Lonchura striata: one gene and its partners. The protein of the gene in region 3 purifies or fractionates together with the protein of the main gene of each other region. This does not show direct contact. Links are inferred from orthologs where the notes say so. Each region holds a gene or a part of one and is shown on either strand. Other genes may lie near its edges. The genes, in order: DNAJC8, USP39, SF3B1 and ZRSR2.

What was found.
Region 1: the proteins of SF3B1 (region 3) and DNAJC8 purify together in Homo sapiens (co-immunoprecipitation; 4 studies listed by BioGRID and IntAct, with this or other methods). This does not show direct contact. The link is inferred for Lonchura striata from reciprocal best matches to the Homo sapiens genes SF3B1 and DNAJC8.
Region 2: the proteins of SF3B1 (region 3) and USP39 purify together in Homo sapiens (co-immunoprecipitation; 3 studies listed by BioGRID and IntAct, with this or other methods). This does not show direct contact. The link is inferred for Lonchura striata from reciprocal best matches to the Homo sapiens genes SF3B1 and USP39.
Region 4: the proteins of SF3B1 (region 3) and ZRSR2 purify together in Homo sapiens (affinity purification with mass spectrometry; 3 studies listed by BioGRID and IntAct, counting the BioPlex papers as one, with this or other methods). This does not show direct contact. The link is inferred for Lonchura striata from reciprocal best matches to the Homo sapiens genes SF3B1 and ZRSR2.

Annotation. Positions count from the first base shown.
Region 1 is NC_134628.1:5,314,377-5,321,643, forward strand, and holds the start of DNAJC8 (dnaJ homolog subfamily C member 8), read left to right. Parts: upstream 1-4,250; 5' UTR 4,251-4,318; coding exon 4,319-4,381; intron 4,382-5,186; coding exon 5,187-5,288; intron 5,289-6,954; coding exon 6,955-7,011; intron 7,012-7,267. Other genes in the region: ATP5IF1 (ATPase inhibitor, mitochondrial), read right to left, coding at 3,357-3,495, 3,609-3,721, 3,872-3,967. UniProt on the Homo sapiens protein: Suppresses polyglutamine (polyQ) aggregation of ATXN3 in neuronal cells.
Region 2 is NC_134634.1:361,681-369,687, reverse strand, and holds the start of USP39 (ubiquitin carboxyl-terminal hydrolase 39), read left to right. Parts: upstream 1-4,997; coding exon 4,998-5,328; intron 5,329-5,924; coding exon 5,925-5,994; intron 5,995-6,074; coding exon 6,075-6,169; intron 6,170-6,588; coding exon 6,589-6,725; intron 6,726-6,850; coding exon 6,851-7,003; intron 7,004-7,544; coding exon 7,545-7,770; intron 7,771-7,965; coding exon 7,966-8,007. Other genes in the region: MRPS24 (small ribosomal subunit protein uS3m), read left to right, coding at 297-323, 630-698, 1,054-1,165, 1,864-2,147; C32H2orf68 (UPF0561 protein C2orf68 homolog), read right to left, coding at 3,376-3,498, 3,967-4,106, 4,479-4,594, 4,699-4,808.
Region 3 is NC_134610.1:28,287,109-28,294,538, forward strand, and holds the start of SF3B1 (splicing factor 3B subunit 1), read left to right. Parts: upstream 1-4,416; 5' UTR 4,417-4,513; coding exon 4,514-4,541; intron 4,542-7,430. UniProt on the Homo sapiens protein: Component of the 17S U2 SnRNP complex of the spliceosome, a large ribonucleoprotein complex that removes introns from transcribed pre-mRNAs.
Region 4 is NC_134604.1:100,231,699-100,239,010, forward strand, and holds the start of ZRSR2 (U2 small nuclear ribonucleoprotein auxiliary factor 35 kDa subunit-related protein 2), read left to right. Parts: upstream 1-4,306; 5' UTR 4,307-4,373; coding exon 4,374-4,420; intron 4,421-6,173; coding exon 6,174-6,253; intron 6,254-6,398; coding exon 6,399-6,495; intron 6,496-6,798; coding exon 6,799-6,907; intron 6,908-7,197; coding exon 7,198-7,284; intron 7,285-7,312. UniProt on the Homo sapiens protein: Pre-mRNA-binding protein required for splicing of both U2- and U12-type introns. Selectively interacts with the 3'-splice site of U2- and U12-type pre-mRNAs and promotes different steps in U2 and U12 intron splicing.

The DNA of each region.
Region 1 (7,267 bases), on a different chromosome or scaffold from region 3:
GTCGCTTCCCTTCCACACTGGGCTGAAATTCCTGGGTGTTCCACATCAATGGCAAGATGACAGAGTTGAATCTGATGTAATTTGTAGGTGAGCTGTTAACTTATAGATGGAATATTACATTTCCTGATGCTCTAGACTTCTTACCCTGACCAATCATTAGTGTGCAGCATATAATGGATGATATATTACAGATGTGCCCACCTCCAGTAAATACCTTGTTCTCTGGAGCTCTCAGAGAACAGCTCCTACATGTTTGCTAAATCCCAGGCTTTCAGGGGGAGGTCTGTCTTAAAAATCTTCAAGCTTTATTTATCAGTAAGAAACTTTCTGAGCGCCCTCAGTGTGTTCCACGACCTCTACAACAGGGAAATGCTCAGAAAAATTTCTGCCTGCAGAGGCCATGCTACTGTTATTACCCTGTGCACATATGTTTATTTTGCCTCACACAGGCAGTGTAGTTGATTTTTAGGAAAACACACACATGTGCTTTGTCTTTGTCTTGCCTCTTTCCCTTTATCTGCTCTGGAGTGGGAAGGTTGAGTGTGACAAAAAGGCCCAAAGAGACCAGACTGGGCTACCTGGGTGCCTTGCATTAAAACCAGCTTGCTAAAGATCTTGGATCTCACGTTCCTTTCTTTTCATTTTTTTCCCCCACCCCTGAGCCAAGGATTATTTGCAATTTCCATCACATTTGTGTAGGATGCAGCAGAAACCAAGCAACTTGGGAAATAGCTTCTGTTTGCTGCAGCAAAAATCACCAGCTCAGTTTTAGCTGAAAATAAATTGCACTTTTCTTTCTCCTGCAGTAGCTAAGTAGTGCTGGGCTGTGATCTTTTGAAGCACAGTACAGACAGAGGATCTGGTGTTAAGGATAAGCATCTGCTCCAAGAAGTGAAACTCTTCATGGAGCTGCACTGTAGGTGGCTATGGGAAGTCAGGGTGTTGTGAATAGGGTCAATCCAACCCTGAAGAACTAGCAAATAATCAAGATGCACCAGTTCTGGCAGAGAAGAGAGAAGAATCCCTTCCTTTGTGTACCCCTGTGCCTGGGGGACAAAGCAGGGGACTAGTCATGCCATCAGCCATTCCAGAGCAATTGAGGAAACCCAGAACAATTAGTCCCTCTGTGGCCTGTGATGTGAGTTCAGCACTATCCTTGCAGCCTTACCTGTTTCAAACATCAGCTTTGGGTTTTGGTTGCTCTGAACCAGAATTAGATGGCAGATGTTTGTTGCTTTCCAAAAGAAAACTAAGCCCTGTCTTCCAGCTTGCACAGACTGAGGGGGAATCCTGGAAAGGTCTCTTGACAACTTGTGCCTTTTTAACTCCCCAGCAACCACCCAGTCTGAGGTATAATCTTATTTTACTCCCCGGCATTCCTGCTCTGGAATCCTGCAGCAAACAGTCTGTAGCTGGCATCTCTCCATCCACAGGCCCTGGAAGTGGTGAGTGAACCCAAACTGCTTGCTGCAAGTCATTTAAATGTTCATGTCATTTGCTGGTGGGCAAGAAAGCTCTGTGGTGTAGCAAGGTACTGACTTGCACACTGCAGCCCTGAGGGAATTCAGCAGTGGTACAAAGGTCCAAATCTCTGCATTCCCAGTCTCATAGCAAATCCTCCCCCTTACAGGTGCTTGGGCAGAGGCTCTGTGGCTGAGTTTACATGGCATAGTTAGTACACCAAAATGCAGAATAAAACCCAGAGATGTGAATTTAAACCCTCATCTGTTCCTTTCTGAATACAGAGTTGGCCTAATATTTATGTCAGCTCTCCACAGTTCACTGAAGCTGTTAGTGCCAAACTTCTCACTAGTGACTCTGCAACTTTTGGGGAAGCCAACCCTGGAAAAACATTCTGAAAAAGGCAAAAAAATGGATTTTTAAATAGTTATAACCCAAACCCAATAGTATATTGCTTTTCATGACTCAGTTCATCTCACCAGGTTCAGAGAGGTGGGGAGGGTGCTTGTAATTTGTTAATTAGCCCCAAATAAAAGGAACAAAGCCCACAGGAAGCTCTGCACACAGCCTTGGCAGAACTCACCACACCACAGACTGAGCATGGCCAGGCAAGGACACTCCATAGCCTCTCTTCCAGGGCTCATCACATGGGTGACATATTCATTGAAGAAGAGGGTTTAAGGACATTAGAGTGACAGTGGTGTCACTCACTCTGCAGATAAATGTGCCACTACCTGCAATATTCACCAGGTGAGGGCAGCCCCAAGGGAGCAGCTGGCTGGGGATGTATCAGGGAACACAGGAGAAACTGGGACACCTTCAGCCAGGCAGTCACACCCTTGTAAACCACTTTCAACATCAAAGGCATCATTTGCCTCCTGCACTTTCAGACAGGGCAGTTCCAGGCACGGACCCACCCAGTCAATGTCGCTGCCACCCTTCACTGACTGTAACAAGCAGCTTTCACCAGTGCTGCACATTAACCCTGTTTGGGCAGATTTACAGACATAACAGGTATGACAGAAAAACTCTTTTCTTACCTGCCTGTTGATACATAAAGTCCCCTTCTTGTCAGTGCTTACTGCAGTAAGGCCACATTGTTTCAGGTCACTTACTGGGTATTTTATGATGAGTTTCCTTCCTACATTAAAATGGCAAAAGTGATTGAAACTGCATAAAATTAGTCTTAAGCCATGCTTTGTTGGAAAGAGACTTAACTAAAGAACACAGAAGTTGAAACAGTAAAAAAAACTAATCTACTGGGTACTTAAAGTCGCTGTGGAAAAGAACATTCACAAAGAAGTCAGGATCTCAGCTGTATTGCTCCAGGGACTAGGGCCACAAGTGACACCAGCATAACTTTGAATGCTATTTTGCTCTCTCAGTTTATGAATACTATTTTCCTCTTTCACTTTATGGCACTAAACACTAAGTGCAACAAGTGAACCTTAATTTTTTTTTTTGTGATCTGCTAGTTCAGTGGGGTAACAGCCCTCTATGCCACATAGACATTTTACTTGAAACAAAGTTACTTCTCTGCCAATGGATTGCTACAGGTACCGTTTCCCCCAACTCTTCTTGTTTTAAAGTTACCCCACCAGGCACAAATGGTCATTTCTTTCACACAAATCTAAAAAAACAATAGCTCAGTTCTGCCTACTCAAGAGTGCAGCCTTACTTTGGAAAAAATTGAAGTTTAAAACAAGATAGTGAGGTTGGTTGTTTTTGTTTTCATTGAACAGTTACTGGCAAGAAAGTGAGACTGAGTAGTTTATTTGATGTTGTTGCAGACCATAATTGTATGGATTTGGATTATGTTGACCAAAAAATACAGTCTTCACGCTGTTTTACACCATGATCAGTATTGGCCATGCACATTCAACAACAGCACCAGCTTAGTCATCTTTAAGCTGCTTGATCTTATGCTTATGGCGCTCGATTTCTTTCTGCAGACGCTCAATCTCTTTCTGGTGGTGGTGGATCTCTTCCTCGTGGTGCTTCCGTAAGGCAGAGAGCTGCTCGCGTTCCTTTTCCCTGCAAGAGAGGACGGCAGGAGGTGCAGCCCCGCAGCCGAGGGCTCGGAGAGGCCGGCCGGGCCGTGCCCCGGGCCCGCGGGAGCGGCTGCACAGGCCCCGGGCCCCGCTCACCTGAAGTACCGCTCCTCCTCGGCCGCCTGCTTCTTCCCGAAGGCGCCGCCGGCCTCGCGGATGGAGCCGCCGCCGCCGCCGCCCTTCCCAGCGCCTTTACCCAGCTCGCCCAGCTGCGGGAGAGACGGCGGTGAGCGCGGAAGGACAGAGCGACAGAGTGACGGACGGAGGGACATAGGGACAGTCAGACAGAAGGGCAGAGCGGAGGACGGACAAAGGGACGGTCAGACGCAGGGCAGAAGGGGCACTCTCGGCACACCCACCTGGTCGGCGCCCGATCCCGAGCTCCAGCGCTGCTGCTGTGCCAGCAGAGCCCCGCGCAGGCCGCCCCGCGCCGCCAGCGCCGCCACGGCCGCCATCGCCGCCTGCCCTTGGAGCGCCGGACGGGCCGGGCGCGCCCGCCCCGCCCCGCCGCGCCTGCGCGGCCGCGGCCCCGCCCTCCTCCCGCCGCGCCTGCGCGGCCGCGGCCCCGCCCTCCTCCCGCCGCGCCTGCGCGGCCGCGGCCCCGCCCTCCTCCCGCCGCGCCTGCGCGGCCGCGGCCCCGCCCTCCTCCCGCCGCGCCTGCGCGGCCGCGGCCCCGCCCTCCTCCCGCCCCCAGAGCCCCGCGGGGGCGGGGTGGTGCGTGTGACGTCACGAGTCGGGGCGGGGCCTACCGCTGCGGCGCGCGCCGTGGTCACGTGTGGTGACGGCGCGGTCACGTGTGGGTGGCGATGGCGGCGGCGGGGCCCGGCGCGGGCGCGGCCGAGGACGCGTTCCTGACCTTCTACAACGAGGTACCGCCCGCCCCCGGTACCGCCCGGCCCCGGCACCGCGCGGACACGGGCTGCCGCGGGGCCGGGGGCCGCCGGCGGGCGGGACGGGCGGAGCCGCTGTCGGGGTGGGTTGGTGCTCGCTCCGGCCCTCCCTCAGCCCTGGTGGTGCCCGGGGCTGGGGCCGCGGTCGGCCCTCGTTCCGCTGCGCTGAGCCCGGCGGGAGCCGTGCGCTCCCGTCCTGCTCGGCCTGGCTGTGGGCAGGCTGTCACCGGGGCCCCTCTCCGGCTGCCGGGCCCCGGGGTGCGGCCTGAGCGGGGGTTCTGAGGCCGTGCAAGTTCGCTGGATATTTCTTCAAATAAAAGTGAACGTTAAGTAGAAATGCATGCTTTGGTTCGGCGTGGTACTGTGAAGGGCAAAAACTGAGCTGAATAACCCGTAGTCAAAGTAAAGCGGATTTGTGTGTCTGCATCAGTGTCATTTAACGTGTTTGAAGGGCTGCACTGCCAACAACGGGTTAAAATAATGCCGTGGTTTCCAAGGCATCACAGCGACGGAAGTGCTGGAGGTGCATGGAGAGGAGGGAAGGCACAGCTGTAGAGCAGGCCTTAGAAGAAATAAACAGAACTATTCTGCAGTATTTTTTATAGGTAAAATGTGATGTTGAAAATACTGTTGGCTGTAGGAAGGGCTAAAAAATATGTGCTGCTCGTGCTTGAGAAAATAACTACAGGCTTGGGGTAAGCAAGGGGCATTATGAGCTGTAGTACAGAGGAATAAATAAAGAGGTTGTGATGGTCAGTTGATACAGGTCTCTCTTGTTCTTCAGGTAAAGCAAATTGAAAAACGAGACTCTGTTTTAACATCAAAAAACCAAATTGACCGGCTGACCCGACCTGGATCTTCATATTTCAACTTGAACCCTTTTGAGGTTAGTTTGAACATTCTATCCTCATTTCTGAATTGATGTGTGAGTTTCCTGATTGTTGAGTATTTATAAGGAAAGAAGAAATTTCTCTGGGTACAGATTACTGTGCAGAAGGTTTGCAGAGGAGAGCAGGATGGTGTATATGTGCTCACTCTCTTTCTCAGTGTTTGATGGCAGGACAAACTGTACATTGTCACATTTCCCTCATACAGCAGCACTGGAAGATTTGGATGGGTATTTTCTGAAGAGGAAGGTAGTAGCTTGGCAGGTTCTGGTCATAGCTCTCTTAATTCAGCATTTGTAGTTGTGTGCTTTATTTTGAGTGTTCATCCCACTGAACTTGTATGGTGGATAGAGTAAGAAGAGGTCTCAGTGGTCACAGTAGTGAGTAGTCTTTGAGGAACCATTGTCAGTTATAAAGTCATAACAAGTAGGAAAGCCTGAGGAAGGCAGTAAATAAACAATATTGCGTTCATCTGGAGTTGGCTTTCCCTGGTCATTTTCCTTCCTGGTGTCATCTTTGCTGCCTTTTTCAAGCCTCAGGTGCTTTTTGTAGTCCCAGTTGAGGGCTGGTCAGCAGGTTCACTTTGACAATGATCAGTTTTGTATAGGTCTTAGTACTTAAAGAGTAAATTTAGAAAGCTGTTTCAGAGTAGACTGTAGCTTTCCTGTGGGAGACTGCTTTTTATTTACAGATTCTTAGAATCAGACCAGCATCTGCTCACTTGTTGCTAAAATCTTGTATTCAGTAAATTAATTCACAAAGGAGTTCCTAAACTCTGCCACATCTGTAAAGTTCAATTAACAAGTGGTGTCACTCATGGAAACCAAACAGTAAAACTCTACAGTCTTCTTTCAAAATAATAGAATTAATAAATTCTTATAAAGTAGTATGTTTCCTGTCCAACATTCTAAGTTATGAGTGACCTGACATTGTCCCCAGGCCACCATATGCTTTAGTCTCTGTCAGACTGAGCATTGCTGCAGGACTGGTTGAAGGCTCAGACCAATTTATGGATCGTAGCTGTCTGCACAAGACTTGAACATAGAAAGCATACTGCCATAGCCAGAGGAATCTAGCATTGCTAAAAGTAGTGTCACAAATGTCAAGATTGTGAAATGTTTGTTTTACTGGGTGAAAATTCATGTAGTTTTGGGGCAAGCTTTCTGGTGTGTGCCAGTGAAGCAAGTGTTACAGAATCACAGAATATGCTGGGTTGAAAGGCACCCATCAGGATCCTTGGGTCCAACCCCTGGCCATGCACAGACACCCCAACAGCCCCACCCTGTGCATCTCTGGGAGTGCTGTTCAAACACTCCTGGAGCTCTGGCAGCCTCGGGGCAGTGCCCATTCTCTGGGGAGCCTGGTCAGTGCCCAGCACCCTCTGGGGAAAGAGCCTTTCCCTGATCTCCAACTTAAACCTCCCCTGACTAATTTTCATGCAGTTTCCTCATGTCCTGTCATTGATCATGAGAGTGAGGAGGTCAGTACCTGCCCCTGAGCTGCCCCTTGGAATGATGTTTAAGAGTGTATTGAGTTCTCCCCTCAGCCTCCTGAACAAACCAAGTGACTTCAGCCACTCCTCATGAGAGTGTTCGAGCTTGCTGACAGGACCCTGAAACTTGGAGAGCAGCATCAAACTTGCTCTGCTTTCCTGGTCTCTTTTAGGTGCTGCAGATGGATCCTGAAGCCACAGATGAAGAGATAAAGAAAAGATTCCGACAGGTATTCAACTTTTGCACTCAAAAGTTTGTGGAGGGGAGCTAAAAGTGCTGGAGAGATTGTGCAGCTGGGTGTGGATACAAGAAAAATGGTAGTAAAGCTGTATCTGGGTAGAGGAGTGTCTATTTTTGGCAGAAATGCATAGAACAATGCTTGTATCAACAAGAGGAGAGCTGCAGCAGTGTCCCTGGTACAAGCATGATAGGCTGCCTTGCCAGTGCCATGTGTGATGGGGCTATTGCCAGCTGATATAGCCATG
Region 2 (8,007 bases), on a different chromosome or scaffold from region 3:
TCCCAGTTGCTATCCAGCAGCTCCCAGTATGCCCAGTATAGCCTGGTACTCCCAGTATGCCCAGTATAGCCTGGTGCTCCCAGTGTTCCCAGTGCTCCCAGTATTCCCAGTATGCCCAGTGCTCCCAGTATATCCTGGTGCTCCCAGTGTTCCCAGTGCTCCCAGTATATCCTGGTGTTCCCAGTGTTCCCAGTGCTCCCAGTATTCCCAGTATCCTCCTCGTCCCCCCCAGTCCCCCCGGTGCCCGCGCCACCCTCCCGCCGCCAGGGGGCGCTGCCACCGCGCGCACAGCCAAGATGGCGGCGGCCGCGCGCGCGCTGCGGGTGAGGGGAGAGCGGGAATGGGAAAAGGGAAAAAAACACCGGGAAAACGGGAAAATACCGGGAATGGGAGAAACACCGGGAATGGGGGAAAAACGCCGGCGGACACTGAGCGTGGGGGACACCGGGGAAGGCGCTGACAAGGGACAGCGGCTGTGGGGACAGCGGGGATGTGGCGCTGGGCGTGGGGGGCTCTGGGGAGGAGGGACAGGGGCTGTGGTGGCACTGGGGACACAGGGCTGGCCCTGCCAGGCTGTCCCCTGGCCCCTGCCTGGCCCTGTCCCTAGCCTTGTCCCTGTCCCCTTGCAGGTCCTCCCCCGCGCCCTCCGTGTCCCCAGCGCCACCCGGCAGCTCCACAGCAGCCCCGTGTGCCTCAAGGTGAGTCCTCGGGACCCCGCGGCCGTGTCCCCTGGCCCCGTGTACCCTGTCCCTGTGTCCCGTCACCCTGTCCCCCGTGTCCCCTATCCCTGCTGTCCCCATTGTCCCCACTGTCCCTGTCCCCTGTCCCCACTGTCTCTGTCCCCACTGTCGCTGTCCCTCTCCCTGTCCCACTGTCCCTGTCCCCTGTCCTCCCTGTCCCTGTCCCCTCTCCCTGTCCCTGTCCCCTCTGTCCCTGTCCCTGTCCCACTGTGGCTGTCCCTGTCCCACTGTCCCTGTCCCTTCTCCCTGTCCCCTGTACCCTGTCCCTGTCCCCTCTGTCCCTGTCCCTGTCCCACTGTGGCTGTCCCCGCAGGCACGGGCGGCGCGGGTGCGCGCAGGCAGGGGAGACAAGGCGGTGACGTACGAGCAGGCGCACGCACCCCATCACATCGGGCACCGCAAGGGCTGGCTGTCCCTGCACACCGGTGAGTGACACGGGGGGGACAGGGGCTGGCTGTCCCTGCACACCAGTGGGTGACACCAGGGACACGGGGGGACATGGGCTGGCTGTCCCTGCACACCAGTGGGTGACATGGGGGGACACGGGGGGACAGGGGCTGGCTGTCCCTGCACACCAGTGGGTGACACCAGGGACACGGGGGGACATGGGCTGGCTGTCCCTGCACACCGGTGGGTGACACGGGGGGACACAGGCACAGATGGGCATGGGGGGACACGGGGACAGCAGGGACATGGGGCACACGGGCATGGGGGACAGGGGGCACAGGGATGGGGCACAAGGGGCACACGGGCATTGGGGACAGGGGGAAGATGGACATGGTGGGACAGAGGAGACAGGTGGTGCCACTATTGCCACCACCACCCTGTCCCCTCAGGGAACTCTGCGTGGTCAGGCAGGCAAAGTGGGCAGCCACCAAGGCCAGCTGTGCCACCCGTGTGTCCCCTCATGGAACCTGTGTGGCCAGGCAGGAATGGCACAGGGGCGGTCACCAGTGCCACCACCCTGTGCCCTCAGGGAACCTGCGTGGCCAGGCAGGCATGGTGCAGCAGGGGGTGACCCTGTGCCAGCTCTCTGTGCCCTCAGGGAACCTGCGTGGCGAGGCAGGCACGGCACAGTGGGCAGTGACCCTGTGCCAGCTGTGCCAGCTCTCTGTGCCCTCAGGGAACCTGTGTGGCGAGGCGGGCGCGGCGCAGCGGGCGATCGAGGACGCGTTCCTGCGGCGGTTCCTGGCCGGGACCTTCCCGGGGCTCCTGGCGGATGAGCTGGTGCTGAAGCGCCGCGGGAACCTGCTGGTGGTGTGTGCCCTGCTGGGCCGGGCACTGCCACCCCACAAGCTCTACTTCCTGCTGGGCTACGCCGAGACCCTGCTGGGCAACTTCTACAAGTGCCCCGTGCGCCTGGAGCTGCAGACCGTGCCCGCCCGCGTGCCCTACAAGTACCTCTAGGGCCGGGAATAAACCTATAAACATCCCACAGGGAATATCCTATAAACGACCCTAAAGAAATGCCCTGGGGTATCCTCAGTGTGCCCTACAAGTGTCTATAGGGCTGGGAATAAACCTAAAAATGGCCCTAAAGGAATGCTCTGGGGTATCCTCGTGACAACCCTACAGTGAATAAACTCCAAGATCTGCTCTGAACAGACCCTACAACAAAAACCCAGCGAGACCCTCTCGAGGGGAACACTGCCACAAGCAGCAGGAGCTCTCTGGGGAGACCCTGCAATGCCAAACCAGGAGCATGAACTTTGGGGAGACCCTATAATAATAAATAAATAAATACCAGGATCTGTTCTGGGGTGACCCCACAAAAATTAAGAATCCAGAATTTGATACAGAGATACTCCACAATAACAAACCAGCAGGATGAACTCTTGAGGAGACCCTACAATAAATAAACACCAGGATGTGTTCTGGGGAGACCCTACAACAAATACTGAGAGCTCTTTGGGAAGACCCTACAAAAACAGAGCTGTGCTATCAGCCTGGGGGAGATCCTCCAATCCCAAACCAACCGGGGGATTTCCAGGAAAATCTTACAATACCAAACGTGCCAGACCCTCCAGGGAAACCCTACAATTAATAAACACCAGAATCTGCCTGGGGCAGACCCTGCAGTAACCTCGCTGCTGGCAGACCCTACAAAGAGAGCAGTGGGGTGGTCCCACCCCTACAATCAGCCCCATGTCCCACCCTGGGGACAACAGCTCAGGGGACCCGCCCTGGGGACACCCTGGGCACAGCTGGCCTTGGCCACAGGTGCCACCAACCTGGGCTGGGGGCAGGACGGGGACGCAGAGGCGACCCTGGGACACAGCAGCACCTGAGGAGGGGACACACAGAGCTGGGGACACCCAGGGAGGGGACACAGTGGCACCTGGGAGGACCTGGCAGCCAGCGTCGGTGCCCGGGGCCACCCTGCCGGGGCTGCTGAGGGGGACAAGTGACACTCAGGGACGCAGGAGCTGCGTCACTTCCCCCCGTGCCTCAGTTTCCCCAGCAGTGAAAGAACCGGAGCCTCGCAGCACCTTTATTGACGGCGGGGTGGGGGGACAGCGGCGGTCCCGTGGGGGTGGCAGCGTCCGGGGCCGCAGCGGTGTCACCGCGGGGGTGGCAGCGTCGGGGGCTGCGGTGTGTCACCACGGGGGTGGCAGCGTCGGGGGCTGCTGCAGTGTCACCCGGTGCCCCGGCGCTTGCTGAGCTCGTCCTGCACGCGCTGGCACAGGGCCCGGCGCAGCGGCGGCTCCAGCGGGCTCCGGGCGCACACCCGGCGGGTCACCTCCTCAGCGCTGTCCCCCTGCGGCACGCACGTCACCCTCGGGCTCCCGGGGACCCCCGGTACCCCACTGTGCCCCGGGGACCCCCAGTACCCAACTGTGCCATGGGCCCACCCACGGGACACCCACTGTGTCCTCGGGACCCCCTGGTACCCCACTGTGCCCTAGGGAGCACCCCTGGTACCCCACTGTGCCCTGGGGAGCCCCTGGTACCCCACTGTGCCACAAACCCCCCCACGGCACCCCCCCTGCCCCCGGGGACCCCCCAGGACACCCCCCACTGCCCCGGGCAGCCCCCCTGCCCCACGGACCCCCCTCGGGTACCCCCCGGGATTCCCCGTGGGACCCCCCCACTCTCTCTGTGGACCCCCAGGACACCCCCCGGGTTTCCCCGTAGGACCCCCCAGGACACCCCCACTGTCTCCGGGGACCCCCAGGACACCCCCCGGGATGCCCCGTGGGATCCCCCCCCGGCCCCCGGTTGGCACCTGGTGCACGATCACGGCCGTGACCCGCCCGTCGTCCCCCTCGTACTCGAGGCAGAAGAGCCGCGGTCCCCGGGCCGGCTCCGGGGGGGCCCCGCCGCCCGCGGGGGGCGGCCCCGCGCTGGCATCGGCCCCGGGCCCGCCTGCGGCACCGCGCCTCAGCTACCGGGGCCGCCGGGGCCACCGGACAGCGTCCCGGCGGTGCCCGTCCCCATCCCGGGTGTCCCCAATTCATGGATGTCCCCATCGCAGGTGTCCCTCCAAATCCCCGGGTGTCCCGCACCCTCGTGTCCCCATCCCCACCCTCGGTCCCCCGGTGTCCCCGCACCCCCGGTGTCTCCGCTCCCCGGTGTCCCCCCCCACCCCCGGTGTCCCCCCACCCCGGTGTCCCCGGGGCTGCCGCCCCTTCCCCGCCCATCCCCGGGCTCCCCGCACCGCGGTCCCTCGGGAGCGCGGCTCTCCCGCCCCGGTGCCCCCGTGCCCCGGTGCCCCCGTGCCCCGGTGCCGCTCACCGCCGCCCCGCTGGGGCCGGTACACCGGCTGGTCGGGCCGCCGGGGCCGCGCCGGGCCCGGGGTCAGCCGCGTCCTCGCTCGGCCCCGCGCCTGCCGCACCGCGCGCTCGTACGCGTCCCTGCGCGGCGGCGGCACAGCGCGGTTACCGGCTGCGGGGGCCCGGGACCGCCAAACCGGCCCGGTGACCCCGCCGCACGCCGGTCCCGGGGGGGATGCCGGTACCTGGCGAGCTGGTTGCGGCGGATGTGCCGCACGAAGCCGTGGCTCATGTCCAGCCGTCCCCCGGGCCGGCAGCGCCAGCCCGGTGCCGCCGCCGCCGCCGCCGCCTCCATTCCCGGTACCGGCGGCCGCGGTCTGGACCGGGACGCGGCTCCTTTAAGAGCCCCGCGGGCCCGGCGCGCGCGCGCAGGCGCAGTAGCGCCTCCTCCCCGCAGCGGCGGCCGCGCATGCGCGGAGTAAGGCGGGCGGTTTGAGCCCCCCTTCCCCGCGCCGCGCATGCGCACAGCGGCCGAACCGCCGCCATGTCGAGCCGGGGGCGGCGGGACCGCGACTCCCGCGACCCCCGGGAGCCCCGGGAGCCCCGGGAGCCCCGCGAGCCCCGCGGCGCCTCCCGCAGCCGCCGCGACGCCGACGCCGAGCGGCCGCGGGGCCGGCGGGACGCGGAGCGGGAGCGCGCGCGGCGGGAGGCGGCGGAGGCGCTGCCGGTGGATCTGGCGCGCGTCAAGCGGGAACCGGGCACCGGCACCGGCACCGGCAGCGGCGTCTGGGGGGGCTCCGGCAGCGCCGCGCCCGTGCGGGTGAAGAGGGAGCGGGAGCCCGATGGAGACTCGGACCCCGAGCCCGAGCCCGCCGGTGGGCACCGGGAGGAGCGGGTGGGACCGAGGGGCTGGGGGACACCGGGGCTGGGGGGACATTGGGGTGTGAGGGGACACCGGGGGTGAGGGGACACCGGGGCTGAGGGGACACCGGGGCTGAGGGGACATTGGGGTGTGAGGGGACATTGGGGTTGAGGGGACACCGGGGCCGAGGGGACAATGAGGGTGTGAGGGGACACCGGGGGTGAGGGGACACCGGGGTGTGAGGGGACACCGGGGGTGAGGGGACACCGGGGGTGAGGGGACATTGGGGTGTGAGGGGACACCGGGGGTGAGGGGACACCGGGGGTGAGGGGACATTGAGGGTGTTTGGGGGGTTCTGGGGTGGGAGTGGGGTATTTGGGGGGGGGGGGTTGGGGTGGGAGTGGGGTGTTTGGGGGGTTCTGGGGTGGGAGTGGGGTGTTTGGGGGGTTCTGATACTGGAGGGTCACCAGGACTGGTCCCGGGGTCCTGAGCTCAGCTCTGGGCAGGGTTTGGAGGCTCAGCCCTGGAGGTGTCACAGAGGGGGCTGGGGGGATCATCCTCGTGTTTTCGGGGTCCTCGTGCCCCCTTTTCACACCCTGCCCTCCCCAGTGCGCTACGGGCGCTTCGACCCCGAGGACCAGCGCAGCCGGCACTGCCCCTACCTGGACACCATCAACAAGTGGGTGACGGGGCTCTTTGGGGTGCCCCTGGGGGTCCCCCAGCTGCCCCCCAGCCCCGTGACACCGCTCTGCCCCCCAGAAGTGTCCTGGACTTCGACTTTGAGAAGCTCTGCTCCATCTCCCTGTCCCACATCAACGTCTATGCCTGCCTTGTCTGCGGGAAGTACTTCCAGGGTGAGAGCTGCTGGGGCATAGGGACAGCCAGGAGTGATGTGGGACACCCGAGGGACAGCCAGGAGTGATGTGGGACACCCGAGGGAGAGCCCAGGAGTGATGGGGGACACCCCAGTGCTGCTTTGAGGGACACTTGGGCATAGGGGTGGTGGTGAGGGGGACACCCAGGGACTGGGGTGAGGCACAGGGGGTCTGGGGTGTTGCTGGGGACACCCAGGGACAGGGAACAGCCAGGGACAGGCTGCTGCCAAGGTGTACAAAGAGGGGAGGGACACCATGGGGACACCCAGGGTGGCTGCTGGGGTGCTCAGGGACCCTCCAGTGGGCACAGCCCCCGTACGTGCCCAGGGGATCCTCTCTGTGCCCCCTGCCTCTGGCACGGCGCTCGGTGCCATCCCTGGTGCCACTGTCCCCCACAGGCCGCGGGCTGAAGTCACACGCCTACATCCACAGCGTGCAGCTGAGCCACCACGTGTTCCTCAACCTGCACACGCTCAAGTTCTACTGCCTGCCCGACAACTACGAGATCATCGACTCCTCCCTCGAGGACATCACGGTGCGGGGGCACTGGGGGGCACCGGGGCTGCCTTGGGACCTCCAGGATCGAGGGGTTGGGATCTGTTCCAGATTGAGGGGTTTGGGTTGGGGTCCCCCAGCTCTGAGGGCTCTCTCCCCCCACAGTACGTGCTCAAGCCCACCTTCACAGCCCAGCACATTGCCCACCTGGACAAACAGGCCAAGCTGTCCCGGGCCTACGATGGCACCACGTACCTGCCTGGCATCGTGGGACTCAACAACATCAAGGCCAACGACTACGCCAACGCTGTGCTCCAGGTGACACCTGGGTTAAGGCTTCCTTTTGGGGTGAAACGCCCCAGAACATCACTGTGGGTCTGACAGGCAGATATCACACCTTGTCTCCTATGGGCTGTACACTGTGAGGGTGTCCAGGCTTCATTCTGGGCTGAAACCCTCCCAGAATCCTGTTCTGGTGCTCTCTGGGATGAGTCCCACCTCTTTTCCCACAGCATGTTCACATGGGGAGTGCTGCCTTCATTTTGGGCTGAATCCCCTCTGAAATCCTCCTCAAACCCCACATTGGGGGTCCTGAGGGTGGATCCCACCTTCTCTTCTACAGGTGTTACACCTGGGGGGTGCAGCTGGCCTTTTAGGGTGAAAGCCCCACATAAACCTCCCCAAACCCCTCTGTGGGGTGATCACCCCACCTCTGGATCCTTCCCAGGCTTCTCCACCCATGGGGGCTTGGGGGCTTGTGGAGATTCCCCGCCCATGGCAGTGCAGGGCCTGCCCCAAAGCCCCTCCCAGATCCCTCCTGTGGGGGTCCCAGGGCTGAATCCCCCTGCTCCATCCCCAGGCCCTGTCCAACGTGCCTCCCCTGAGGAATTACTTCCTGGAGGAGGAGAACTACCGGCGCATCCAGCGCCCGCCCGGGGACATCATGTTCCTGCTGGTGCAGCGCTTCGGGGAGCTGATGAGGAAGCTCTGGAACCCCCGCAACTTCAAGGCCCACGTGTCGCCCCACGAGATGCTGCAGGCCGTGGTGCTCTGCAGCAAGAAGAACTTCCAGATCACCAAGCAGGGTGGGATTTGGGGGACAGGGCTGGGGGCAGAGCTGGGTTTGAGGGGAAGAGCTGGGGCTGGGGGCTCTGGGTTTGGGGTGCAGGGCTGCTCTGGGTTCGGGGTGCAGGGCTGCTCTGGGGGTGCAGGGCTGCTCTGGGGGCTCTGGGTTTGGGGCGCAGCAGGACCCAGGCTCAGCTCTAGCTCTGCTCTTGCAGGGGATGGGGTGGAGTTCCTGTCCTGGTTCCTGAACGCGCTGC
Region 3 (7,430 bases):
AAACAAACTGCAAAGACAGAAATGCAAACAAAGCCCCAGTCCTATGCTGTCCTCCCTTCCTCTAACCCTTATTACTAACCTCATCTGTGTTTTGCAACTTCCACGAGTGCTGCTATTATTTGCTGGATTCTGTGTCTGTCATTCTAGCTTGCTCAGTGAATCCTAGTGGATCAGGAAATGCCTCTCACAAAGACTGATGTTTTTAGGTGTTTAGAATAATTGAAGAGTCAGGCATCGAGTAGTTCAAGGTGATGGATGTTTAAGGCACTTTGAGGAGTTTTTGCCTTTTTTGTTTTCTCTTGGTAGGCTCAAGATTAAAGTTCTTAAACCTTGCTTGATACCTGTTGCTGGAAGAGAGTGCTGTGTTTACTAACTCTGACTGGAAGAGTGGTCCAAATTAATCCTTAACACCAGAGGGATGCAAGATTTCTGATACACTAGAAAGGGATGTACTGTAGGACCACAGAGGTTGTTTTTTTCTAAATGTTATTTTTTATAATACTACTATCATTAGAAGGTTAGGTTTACATTCTAACTATGAGGTTTATACTATTAAAAACAATAATTTTAAGGACACCTTTCAGAGGGGAAAGAGTCAATCTTTGACAAGGAGGAGAGCATATCCCCATGTAAAAAAAAGCTCTATTCCTACAGATAAGTGAAAAGAGCAGCTGGTTTAGTGTGTTCCTTAGGTAGCCAGAGATATGCTGAGGAAAGCAAAAATATAGTAACTGTGTTCCTGTTTACAAATGAGTTTTGAATAATATTTGCCTTTGAAAGATCTCAAAATATATACATGTAGGCTGGGAAAAATTATCTACAAACATAGATGATTCATCAGGATATAAAATCACATAAATTTTCTTATATTTTATATAGTGCCAGTGAACTTGGTGTTAGTAATAATTGAAGTATTTGGCTGTGAACATGTTGTGTAAAGGATTAAACTTGTTTGATCTTCATAAGGTTTCAGTGGACCAAAAAAATCCAAAAAAGGTTTAAATCTCAATGCATATTTGCTCACAGACGGTTTTGAAATCCAGCTACTCTGTTCTTACTCTGTCCCAGTTCCAAAATAGTACTGTCTGTATTTATTAAACTGCTCAGGAAGAACATGATCTGCACCAAAGCATGCAGCCCCGGGCGCAGCTCGGGCAGGCTGGGGGAGGATTGCTGCGTGGGGAGGGCTGTGTCTGCAGCAGCCCTTACCCAACCCCCCTGGCCCTGCCAGCCCTGGGACAGCGTTAGCTGGGACACAGGGCCTGGAGCCTGCTTCCTCTTGGCAGAAAATCTACAAAAACACCCTCAGACTCCCTCAGGAGAGCCCACAGGACTGTGGCAGCACAGATGACAGTCCCATCCCATCTTTGATTTATGTTCCTCAGGCCCCCCTTACCAGCAGTGACACAAATGGTTTGTGTTCAGGTTATGCACATCCTGCAGAACACAAAGCAGCCCCCATTTAAAATTGTCCAAAAAGCTTATCTTCCAATGTGTATTTTTTAACTCATTGCTTTCCAGTGACAAAAAAATTGTCACTTTGTACATTATTTCTTCTTGACATCAGAAACAAAAATGCGACTGGAAGAGATTTTATTTTGTGCTATTTTTTTCTTGCTCATGTTGTTTGAGAAGTTTGTGCAGAGTTGAAACACAGCTGCTACAGTTAAATATTTCCTCTCTTTGTTTTAAGAATTTCTGCCCTTTAACAGACACGTGATTGTCAGTGAACTGTCCCTGGCACGTGAAGCTAAGCACAGACCTGGGCAGAATGAAGGATTAGGAGTTTAGCCCAGGTTTGTAGCATTTTGCTAATGTCAGCTCATTCTACAGCTCTTTACAGCATGGGTGGGTGGTGGGGGGGAATTAATACAAATAAAAAATTACTTTTGGAAGAAGTAGCACAAGGATGTAGTCAAGAGCCTGCCTTCTTTGAGTGAAACAGTGCCAGAAAGTTCTGCTGGCACAATAGATGGGGTCAATCAAGGCCAGGCAAAGAGTCTGGATATTTCTTCCAGCAGCAGTGCCAGCTGGTGACAGCTTAAGCTGCCCGTGAAATTGGACCTGAATCTTACATAAAGTGGGACCTTGGAGGTCTGTTCCTTAGGTGTGATTCCTGATCTGCAAAGCTTGAGTGCTCTTAAATCCGTTTCAAATGCATACAGGAATCTCTGTGAACTCGCTGTTCACTTGCATGTGTGGGAAAGGGGTGGGAACTCAGTAGGGCTGGTAAACCACTAAGTAACAGCCCTGTCCGTATTCTGTGGAAGCTGTGTGATGGAGTTAATGTTCAGGAGGCAAAAGTACATATTCAGGGATTTGACAGGCAGCCAAAAAGAACCTGGGGCAGCATACAGAATTCGGTGGAAAAGCAGGGAAGAGACACAAGTAGAAGGCAGTTTTCTCATTGTTTCATCACAGCACAATTTCTGTTAGCACTCACAACACATAAGTCTCTTTTATGTGTGAAATGGCACATTTCAGAATTATGACTTTAAAGCGTTCCTCGAGACCTCATGCCTAGCTCAGGTCTGCTTAATAACAGAAGAAATGAAATATTGTAATTGTTCTGCTTAACATAAACTGGAAGTCAGGCTGAAGAAAGGAGGGAAAGTTACTGCAAATTGATCTTCACAGTGAATCTGAGCATGTGACATTTACTTAAAATAGTTGCATGCATTAAATTCTTGCAGCAGGGAATTTGCCTCAACCTTACTGTCACATGTCTCTGGGCAGCTTGGTAAATATCTCCTTTTGTAGCCTGTGAGTATGTGCAAGTGCATCTTTCTAGAAATGTGGAATGTGAGTTTAATAACGCTGAGAATAAAGAACAGAAGACTTTGTGCACCTTCAAGTGACAGTCACTCTTAACATTTGAGTACATGTAGTTAGTAAATTATTAAAAGCAGAACTGTTCAGCAAACTCCTGCAAACCAATCAACACAAAGCAGACTGACAGATCTTTAGATCAGTTGGTCAATCAAATACATGTATTAACACAAAAACATGAGCTTCACATTATTTTCTTTAAGACAACCCTCAAAAAGCCATAATGTGAACTACCAGCTTGCATAAGCAGAGTGATTAGTGAAGAGTCAATATGGGTTTTGCCATCGTGCATTTATCACCCTTTTCAGAAACAGTTTATGCATTTTACCTGATGGGAAGTTCTCAAGTTGACATCACTTGTTGCAAAAGCTTTTGAGGAGATTAGGGACTTAGCAGGTGTACAATAAAGCCACATGATAATAAATAATCTCTAGAAGTTTACATATTACACTGTGTTATGAAATATCATTAAGCAATCGTGGACTTTGAACCTAGGTTGCATAGCCAGCCTTGGTATTTTACTACTATTAAAAGCTGAGACAATAAAAAACTAGCTTGTTCACAACACTTGACTGTAAGGGAGAGTTCCCAAGGCTTTGCATGTGGATAGAATCAATCCTATTTAGTTATCAGGTATACAATAGACAGGGATGCTGAAATGTGTATATATCATCTGGGGAAAAAAGTTAGTAATTCCCAAATGAAATGTGGAAGTGGTGTGAGGTCAGTTATTGCAGAACAGCTGAACAATTTGTTTACATCCACACTAGGTCATGTTCATAAACATCTGATCGTTCCTCCTCGCTTCTAGACTATATTGAGTTTGCCCAAGTCTCTGTTGGACACCATCAGTGGCTTTGACTGAGCTAAGTAAATTGCTTTTCAGGTTTTGTATGTGGCACAATTTTTAATGGCCTGGAGTAAGACTTAATTCCACTGCAGCAGCATATTGCTACAGATAGTCGTATAGCTTTGATTTCCCATGTCATCAGTTTCTGACTATTTTTTCCACTTAAAATTCATATAGTGACTTAAAATTCCAATTTGGAGTAATTTCTGCTTTTTGTTGTTGAAGCTTACCTCTGTGATCTTAGATTATTCCATGTATGAATCAATGTAAGATTATTCTCAATTCCTTCTTCCACCTGCCAGTTTGGTGCCATCTGCCAATATCGTAAACACAACTACCCTTCCCTCTTTCGAGCCCTTCCTAAAATACTGAACTGACTTGAATCCGGTTAACCCCCATCTTGTAGCAATAAATATATATCTGCTTTATTTCTGATATCTAGCGATCCGCCTGTTGGCACTGAGCCAGTTACCCTGACCAGATGAAACACACGTCAGGCAATTTGGCAAACAGAGCTGAGCACCCAAATTCCCGTGGGGCCCAGCCTCAGCGGCTGTGGGAAGGAAGTCTCCAGGAACCGCCCCCATATTTGGCGCTTCCATTTGCCCCGCCCTCACCGGAAGTTCCCTCACGGCGGGCCGGGCTCAGCGCGCGCCCCGCCTCTCTCCGCACGGCCATTGGCTGGGCGCGCCGTCCATCAGACGGTGGGCGTGGCCTGGCCCCCGGCCCGCGGGACGGCGGCCGCGCCTGCGCGCTGCCGGTTCTGGCGGCCCCGTGTGGCGGAAGCGGCGGGGCCGCGCCAGTTCCGCCTCGGCGTCGTTGGCGCTGCACAAAATGGCGAAGATCGCCAAGACCCACGAAGGTAAAAATAGCCCGGAAAGCCCCGTGTCCGCGCCCGCTCGCGCCGCGCTTGGACATCGCCCGCTGCTTGTGTTTCTCCCCGGCTCCGGGCAGCGTCAGGCGCGGCTCCTCGGGCGGAGGAGCACACATACAGGGCATGTGTGTAATGGCGGCTGCGCTCGTCAGCGCCGGGCCGGGCGGGGGGCGGGCATGAGGGGGAGCTCTCGCTGTGCTGGCGTGGGCCGGAGCGGCGGCCAGGCCTGTGCGGGGGAGCTCGGTCGCTGAACTCCCCATGGCCGCCTCCTTCCGCCCATCGAGGCTCGGCCGGTGCGCTGTGCAAGGCCCGCGGTGCCGCTGCGAGTTTCGCGTCAGAAATGCCAACAGCGCGCGTTCGGTCCCCGCCGAGCCCCTCGGCCTCGGCAAACAGCGCCGGGGGCGGCCGCAGAACGGGCGCTGCCCGCTGGAAGCGGCGCGGCCCGAGCCGCCGCCGTGCTTGCTGAGAGGAGTGCCCCGAAGGACGGGAAGGATCGTGAGGGCTGGAGCGTTCGAGCTGCCATTTTGCACAGACTTCTGCCGGCCGGGTGTTGACGTAGGACAGCGGCTCCCTGAGCGATCCAGCGGCTCAGGGCAGTCCCGGCGCTGTGTGCTTCTCCTTCTCTTGCGTGCGCTGCTGCCTCGGCTCTTCTCGGAGGGAATCAAAGCTCTCTTTGTGGGCATCGGCTGCGGCTTGCACCCGAGAATAATGTGTAGAATTACACTGCTTCTCTGTTTTTGCTTCGGGGTTTTTCTCTCGTGTTTCTCTGTACGATAGGTGTTCTGCTGTGTTTTGTTTTAATTTATATGCATAATTCACTAATTGGAAACTGCCTCTGGATGGTGGTTGTGCACTGAGGTAGGCAGGGCGCTTAGGCGTTCATTGTCTTTTAGTATTTTTTTAATTTTTTTTTCAGCTTTTACTGAAAAAAGCTTTTCAAGTGGAAAGCCATCATCTCCCGTGGAAGTGAGATTAATGTAGTGTTTAACACTACAGACCTAATCTGATTTTAAGGACGAAGAAAAGCTTAAACTGTTGTCCTTACTTTCAATTATTTTTTAGAATTCTAGAGTATTTTTATATAATTACAGAAATTGTCTTGTCCTTTGTTTATATAATGTGACATGCATAAGGGTTGTGTGTGATAGCACCCAAGTGAGCCTTACCCATCACAGTGCTCTGCCTCTCCTACTACCTGAAGAGATTCTTGTCATAAAATAGTACAGTTGTTGAGGTCTGGTTGTTTCCAAGCTAAAATTGCTTATTTTTTGGAGCAAATGGTGATGCATTGGCTTCAGTGAAAACATTGACATGCTTTCAGTTGCATGTGTTTTGATTAGTGTTGTATCAGAACAGGTTTTAAGGGGGAGGGTAGTTAAATAAAAAATAGACATAACAGGGTATGATCACTTAAGGGTCTTTCCCAGCATGGAGGCATTAGCTGAGCAGCTTGATTATTTTGCTTCCAGGTGGTAGCCTATTTTTTTCAGTTCCTCACTAATCTTTTGAATTGAGTTGTTTGTTACTAAATCATCCTAAAGTTTTTTTAATATATTTGTGCTGTTTATTAAATATTTCTTAATTGATGTGTTCAAGATACAGCTTGAAAGAAGCATCAAAAGAGCTGGAGTTCATGTCAGCTACATAGTTAAAGGGGGACTCTGTGTTTGAGGCCGAAAAGTGAAGTTTCAGGTGGCAGCTTATAATGCCTCAATAAGTGCATGAGCTTTCAATGCTGTTGAAGGTCGTATTTATTTTAATTTTTTTTCCTTGCTGAGAAGAGAACAGAGATCTTCAAACATAATAGATCTAACATGCGTAAGAGTGCTAAAGTAGTTAAAAATAAAGCCATGTAAGGGCAAGCTAAATGTGCAAAAATATGATAAGACATGAAAACATAGAACCTATTTACTCTAAAATACCTGTCCAGCACAGGGTCTTCTTTCTTTTTTTTTTTAACATTTAGAATAGAACTACATGCGTGGTATCAGAGCACATACTTAGAGGAAGCCTCTCTGTGAGCTAGATGTTCAGTGACTTTGAATAAAGTGTTATAATATTCAGCTGTAATAATATTCAGCATTTATGGTATGTTTCAAATCACCTGCTTGTTGAAGTTACTTCTGCTAAAATACCAAAATACATAGAGTAAAATACAGAAAAGGAGCAATCAGTAGAATATTATTCCCCTCCTCTCTTTTTTCCACCCTTATATCCCACTCCCTTTACTGTTTCTCTGTGAGTGAAGTTTCCATTATGTCCTGCTCGACTAAGCCATCAAACAAGTAGTTTGCTTTGCACAGTGTCTTTAAGCTTTGTGATCACTCTTTCTTAATTTGCTTTTTATTAAAGAGCTTTGTTAAGTATGGTGTGAGCTTTTTCAAGGAAGTGCCAGTTAGCTCAAGGAAGCTAACTGGCACATTTTGAATGTCAAAATAGCATTTTCCACCTAAATATGTGATGCTTTTCAAACACAGGCTACCTGTGGCCACAGGCTCCTGGTTCAAGGGCTCTTGTGGGTAGAGTGCTTCATTTAAACTGGCACCTGGAGGCTGTGTGGTATTAATAAAAAATTAGGGTGGCTATCAGTAAGGTTTGTTGAGCCTATATAGACTTCGTTTTTTTGTTATAGATAACCCAGTAGGTTTTTGCTGTAGGAAAATGAGAATGCTCCTTGCCCCGGCAGCAGCTGTAATCCCTGTAATTTAAAAGAGAAGGCCAGTAATGAGTGACACATCCACCCTCTTCATGAAATATAGCTGTTTTAAAAATAATGTTGGCGGACAAGGCATTGTTAAGTGCTAGTAAGAGCTATCAATAGGAAAACATTTTTGTATTGACACTTGCACTGCAGGAATCCCCCCACTGTTTCACTTA
Region 4 (7,312 bases), on a different chromosome or scaffold from region 3:
GCACATATGCAAGGTATGTTTTTAACTGACTACTTTGTGAGGTGTTAGATTTCTAAGTAGTTCCTCTTTTATAGTATCTTTGTTTTTCCTAACTACTGTGGAGAAACAAGTCATAGCCATGAAGAATTTCATTCACGATCTGCATTCCAGAAATACCACTGAATTAGTGCAAAGAATTATTTCTCTTATTGTACCAAATGATTTTTTTTCTTTTTTCAATAGTTTTGATCTACAGAAGTTCATGTGCAAACTGTATGTACATATTTAAAAATGCATCAAAATTTGAACTACAAAAAAAATCTGGAGAAATTTGTTGAAAAGTCAAGAGGCATATGACTTGCTAAAACAAACAAACAAATCCCCTCAATCTTCTCCATGTGATTAGCAATATACTTTTTCTGCTCCTTTCAGTGTCTTTGAAATGGAAAATCCCAGGGAAGTAAAATATTGATAGCTATTGTATAAGTTAATTAACAACTATGGCTAAACTTAACCTCAGTTTTCAAATTTGACAAATTAACAGCTTTAAACTCTGAGGAAGTTAATCTTTAGTCTCAAAGAGTTGTGTCCAATTCTTACGAGGAAAGAGTCAATGTGTGACTGTCAGCATTAGTCACTCATGGAAACGTACCTGATGAACTGCAGACCTGAACAGCAGCTGTGCACAGTGCTGTGCAGTTCCCTGGGTGCAGTGGAAATGACAAACACTGCATGTCCTTTCCATGGGGGAACAGGGTGTTGAATGAGGACTGCCACCACCGTCATCACTGTAACAGTGCAGAAGTGACTTGATTGTCACCAAGTTTTATCAGTGCTCACAGAAGCAGACAGTGTGAGAAATCATTTAGCTCTCAAGACAGTAGTGCAGGTGGGGGAAGGATGCACTTGCCAGCATTCCCATATTCACCTTGGAAAGGGCACTTTGCAGTGGAAAGCACCAGGGACAGCCCACAGTGGGGCTGGCACTGAGGGTAAGCAGAGACTTCCAGCATGGAGGGGGTGGGAGGATGGTGCTGCTGCCACCACTTCATCATCACATTTGTATAATAAATGTCAACACACCAAGAAGTGTCAATGAAAACTGACCTATTCCAAACCCACACTTCCTGGATGTCTCCTACTTAGCACATATCTTCTGGGTCCAACAAATCCAAGTTAGTGATTTGACTGCCATTGTATTCTCTTATTTCTATTTGCATCATCCAGGAAAAAACCAAAACAGATGCACAATCCCATGAGGAAAGGTCCCACTCTTCTCCTGGAGCATATGGCAAATACTATGGTGAGGACAACTTTTACATAATCTGTATGCATATCAAATATAACTTTCTTTTTTCTACAGAGGGCTTGGGCATACAACAGAGTGAACCCTTCTTATCTGCTTACATCAGTCTACAATGACAGAAAATACAAGAAATGGAAACCAGAAGAGCCACGGGGAAAGGAAGTTCAAATACGTGCCAGAGAGGCACTGCACTTCAACACAGAGCTGCTCTCCTGTGCATGCAGAGCTCTGTGCATACATCTTGAAAGGCACACAGAGATTTATAATGCAATGTGGGACATCCATGGTAGTTACTGCATGGTATGTAACTACAAGCTGTAAGATAAAAGCTTCTGTGTTCTGGGCTGTTCGGTACAGCACAATCTGTGTATCCAGTATTGACCTTATGAGAGGGTTCATGTTGTACTGGACCATGAAGGAGCATTTTTCTTTAGAAAATATGGAAGAGTGAGTTCCAAAACCTGAAGGCTGCCACAAAAATAAACTATGCTTATGGAGGTCTATGGTCTATAATTCCAGTGTGAGGAATAAGAGCTACTGACTGGAATGCAGTGTTACTTTCGATATGTGAATGGCTCTTGCCTGGAATTGCTGTATCTTTTTCTTTCTGGCACTCAATCAATTAAATTATATGAAACTCCACACCTGCCTTGAAAATCAAGCTGCTATATTTATATAAACTAACAAAATAAACAAAACTGAGAAAAATGCAACTATTCTATTCTTGTTTTGAAGAGAATGACAGCTTTTTCCAGAATCATTCTGGATATCTGAAATAGCTGTTATGTTTTGTGTTTTCTTAAAATGAGATCCTACTTTTAATTGCTGAAATATATACGCTTAAAATGGTGCCTTCCCCAAGAACATTGGAAAAATGCCATGATGAAATGTAGCATACCAAAAGAAAGAAATGACAGAATTTCTCAATTTAGACTCATAAATAGCTTAAAGGGAGGTTAATATGGTACTTCCTCTGTTGACGGGCGGATGAAAGTTATAATTTCTTAATGAAATAAGATTATGAAACACATTTGGTTGTTTTTTTTTCAAAACTTTCATGGGTGTCAATGGTTCATCAGTTGTTAAATGCCCAATACTGCCATCTTCTGTATCCAAGAAACAGCAAATTATCTGTTACTTTACATGTATGTTCTGCACAAGGAACAGTGGAAGTACTACTGATGACAAGTCCTTCATTTTAAGAGAGTCTAGATCTGGCACACGGTTAAGTAACAGCAAAGAGTCATGGTCTGAATATTCATTGGTCAAGTGGCAAATGTAACTGCTGACTACAGCAGTCACATGCCTGCTTTGAATAACTTCACTGAGCTTCAGAGTAGGAAAGAGGATGCTCATTATGCTGTTAATAAACAGCACAGTCAATTAGTCAGATTTTGACAGAGCCTGCTGTGGTGTGCTTCCTCGTCAGCAGCTCCGGCTGTTTCTGCAGTGTTCTACCTCCAGGATACAAGAAATAAGCTCCTACACCGTGGTTTAGGAGAATAATTTATACCTTAATCAACAATGTACATTATTAATAGCCATGCAAAACATGCCCAAATGAAAGCTACAAGCACGCTGCCTCTGAAGGCTGCAATCTATCACTCCTGTCACAGAGGAATTGATTACTGACAACTTGCAGATTTCCACCATCACACCCATGAGGGTCTAAGTGGAATAGTTTCCTGCCATGAAATGCATTTATAATCAGGTCAGGTACAATGCCTCAGAGACAATGATGGGAATATATCTGCAGTGTGAGCTAAACTGATCAATGCACTGGAACTGTGGCTTCCCTCAGCTCCAAGAGCCTGTGGGGCAGGGCAGCCATGCCCACAGCAGCCAAGGGACACACTGCAAGTTCACCTCACGGCAGGCACCGAACAGCCCGCTCCCACACACAGCTCCCAGCACCAGCCAGGCAGCTCACACACGGAGCACAGGCTGGGGACATTACAGTCAGGAAAGGCCGAGGGAACTGGGCCTGTTCAGCCCTGAGGAGACAGCCGAGAGGAGACCTCATCAACACGTGTTAGAAAGGTGTCAGAGCATGGGTCCAGCTGTGGACCATATTCTCGTGCTGCCGAGCAGAACAGGCAACAGGCAGAAACTGATGCACAGGAAATTCCACCTGAACATGAGCAAGAACTTCCTTTACTGTGAAAAACGCCAATCACTTGCTTTAAAATTTTAAAAGTTTAATAGTAATAAAATGGTTATAGAGTAGTAAGAATTTAGACAGAGTTAGGACAATGAAGGACAATAAAAACAAAGAAATACGGACAGTCTGGATGCTTTGTTCAATACAGCATGACTGCTAACAAAGGAACAACCCTTAAAAGTCATAGCGCTTTGCATATTCACATGTCTCATACATGATGCAAATATTCCTTTCAAACTAGGAATTTTCCTGTTTTCTGTCAACTCTCCCCTCATCCTGTAGATCAATCCTTTCGGTTCCGAGGTGTCCAGATGTTGGGTACGGTCCAATGAAGAGGCCATAAAATCCCATCTTAGAATTTTTGGGGGTCCTGTTGCTGTTACCTCTATGTGAACAATTTCTTGCTTCTTATCCCTTCCCTGTGCTGGTCACAAAAAGGTATCTTAAATCACATAGCTTCTATTTTAATATTACACTATAGCCTAAAACTGTACTTACCACACTTCTTTCAAAAGATTAATAAAACATTACTAAAAAAGGACTAATACAACGTTACTTTCAAACATAACGCATATAGTATTCATTTTAATACTGCGAAGAGCTAATCATAGAATATTCAATCTTTTTCACGTTTACTGTGTGTGACCAAGCACTGGAACAGGTTGCCCAGAGCGGGTTGGAGCCTCCCTCACTGGGGATGGTCCGGACCCGCCCGGACACAGCGCTGCGCCCTGTGGTGGCCCCGAGCAGGGAGGCCGGGCACACGAGGCACTGCGCTCCTCACACCCGGCCCGGTTCTGTGAGGGGAGAGCTGGGACGGCAGCTCCCGGCGCCGCCCTCAGCCGCGGCCCCGCGGCGCGCGCCCGCCGGAACCGATCGCGCGCCCTTCCGCCGCGGGGTCACGTGACGTCCCGTCGGTCCCGCAAGATGGCGGCGCCCATGTTGGTGCCCGAGCCCCCCCTGGGGAAGCCGAGGTGAGGCCGCGGCCGGGCCGGGGCCGGGGCCCCCCGGGACAAGGGGAAGGGCCCGGGGGTCCCTGCGGAGAGTCGCGGCCCCGTCCTGGCCGGGACCGCCCGGGCGCACGACGGCCGCGGCTGAGGCCGCCCCGCGGCCGGGCCCGGCAGTGGCGCAGCTCCGCGCGGACGGGGGCACTGGGCTCGGCGGTTCTCGGGACGGGAGCGCGGCCGCGCTGGGGGCGCCGAGCGGGCCCGGAGGCGGCGCAGCCGCGGGCGGGGGGCGCTGCCGGTGCCGTTCCGTGCCGGACCCGGGGCAGCGGGGCCGCCGTGCCGGCCCGCCCTCGCTGCGGCGGGCGGGACAGCATTCCGCGCCCGGAAAGCGGCGGCCCGGACTGATGTGAGGAGCAGGGCAGGAGCGGCATGTGCGTGCCTGGCCTGAGCCCCGTCCAGCCCCGCCGCGGAGGCTGCGGGCCAGGGCGGCCGCGCTCACAGCGGGATTCCCCGGTCGGGCTCTCCGGGTGTTTGCCAAGGCCTTGCCCCGGTGTCGTGCCGCTGGACGCAGAGACGGACCCAGCCCTGGGGCAGCTTGGGCGCCGCTGCTCCTTGTGCGCCAGCTGTGTGCCCACCCCCTCCTGCGCTGGCCGGGGAGTAAGGGGAGTTCCTCCCTCCCTTCCTTCCTTGGGTTTCAAGAACAAGAAGTTCCCAGGAACTGGGAAAGAGCTTCTCGCTTGTCAGCCCCAGGCACCTGCCGAGGGCTGCGATCCATTTCGGGCAGGTCCCGAGGTGAGGACCGGCCAGGCTGGCCGGGCCGGAGGCAGAGGTCTGTGCGGGTGGGCGCCGCTGGCAGGACAAGCACTGTGGTGTCACCTTGGCACGCACAGGTGTGCACGCGGTGAGGATGTGAGCAATCCTGAACAGGACTGGAGATGTGGGTGACGTTCTGGCTGGCTGAGTTGCACTTGTGGAATCTTTTAAAATTACACACTCCAAAAGGGGAAGGTTTCAATCTCCCATCAGCATTTGGTGTGGCACAGTGACAAGAGCTGAAGATCATCCCTCCTTCCCAATTCTCCATTATGACCTGGTTAAGAAGAGAAAAGATAGAATGAAACTTGACAGAAAAGAGCTTAATGGGAAAAGGCTTTTAGACATTAGAGGCATTTTAGCCAAAGTGAAAACATGGTGGTGCCTGTAGGCAGCTGTTCAAAGCTATTAGACAAGCAAGGAAGAGTCTGGCCAAGCTTCTGTAGCAGAAGAGCAGTGCTGAGCATTGTCTGTGGGGGCTGTGGAGTGTGTTTTGTTAGCTGTGCATTGAGACTGCTGCCTGTGGAGAATATCAAAGAAGAAAAGAAAGGACTTGAACTTTCATGTTCTGTAAAGGAAAGACTAGAATGTGCTGAGAGTTGCACAAAAATTGTAGGGTAGGAGATCCCTAAGTTTTACTCCCTTATCTTGTCTAGTGACTGAGTTTCAGGAGCTGAAGGAGATTTCATGGAGTTGGTGATGATATTGAGTACTGCCGAGCTCATAAAGGTGACACCACATGTATGGTGTCTTCTTGCTGCTATCCATGTGCAAGTCTGAGCAGCGCAGCCACAGATTTACAGATTTCATTGTCACATCAGATGCTGCTGTGGAGTTACTGTTTCGTATAAATGCCTAGTAATTTTGCAGTTTGTGGGATTTTGTATTGCTTAAGGAAATTAAGTGAATGTATGACAGTAAAATTTGTTTGGCTGTCTTAACATAAGTAATGTTCTCTCATCCTCAGCCATCAAAAGTACAGAGCTATTCTGAAGAAGGAGAAGAGGAAAAAAAAGCGGCAGGCACTTGCCAAACTAAGAGACTCAGGTAACTGAAGTATTTGGTACTGTCAGTGGAACTAGAAGTGACTGGGTTGTTTTTGGGTTTTTCTTTTTAAATATGTCAGTTTGTGTATCTGTGTTGGCTGTAACATGCAGTTATGTAGATATATTGAATTGTGCTTTTTTTTCAGAAGCTGCAGAAAAAGATGAATCTGTGTCTGAGGAAGAAGAGGAGGAAATGGAAGAAGAGGAGGAAGAAGAAGAAGAAAAAAAACTTGAGGCAGAAAGGTGAGAAATATAGAAAATGTCATATGGGCAATAAACATTTTTGTAATCAAATCCATTTTAGTACTTTGAAAAGTTTGAATATATTCTGTGCAACACAATCTTTATTGATTATGTCAAGCTACACAGTCCTTTCTTCTAAAGCCTGAGTGATTCCTATGGAAATTTGTATTTTCAGTAAGATTAAATAAGATGCAGCTATTACTGTAGTAATAAATACAATATTGAATTGTATTTATGAGAGTTGCATCAGTCATGGGTAGTCCTTAAGTTGATGGTTTCAGTGGTGTCTGGTTTCTTTGTTAGACAAAAACTACATGAGCAGTGGTTGCTGAGAGAAGAAAAGGCCCAAGAAGAGTTCAAGCTAAAGAAAGAAAAAGAAGAGGCTGCAAGAAAGCGTCAAGAGGAAGAAGAGGTATAAAGATATAAAACCTTACAGTAGTGCTAGACAACAAGATAGACTTAGTGTAATAACTGTGATGGACCCTTTTTCTTGATGCTGGTGTGTTTGAAAGCATAGACTCTCCACTCTTTGTATAGAAAAGCACAATTGAAAAGAGAAGAAAACAACAGCTCTTAAAATGGTATTTGTCAGATTTAGTTGCTTCTGACTGGATGAAAACTTAATGGTCAAGCAGTTGTAGTGAAACATGGTAATTTTGATTGATTGTAAAGTGTTGTTCTTTATTTTTTTTAATTATAAAGAGGAAGATCAAAGAAGAATGGGAAGAGCAACAAAGAAAAGAGAGAGAAGTGGCACAGCAGAAGCAACAGGAGAAGAGAGAGAGAGAGGTGATTTGTGGTGGTGGGAGGATATACA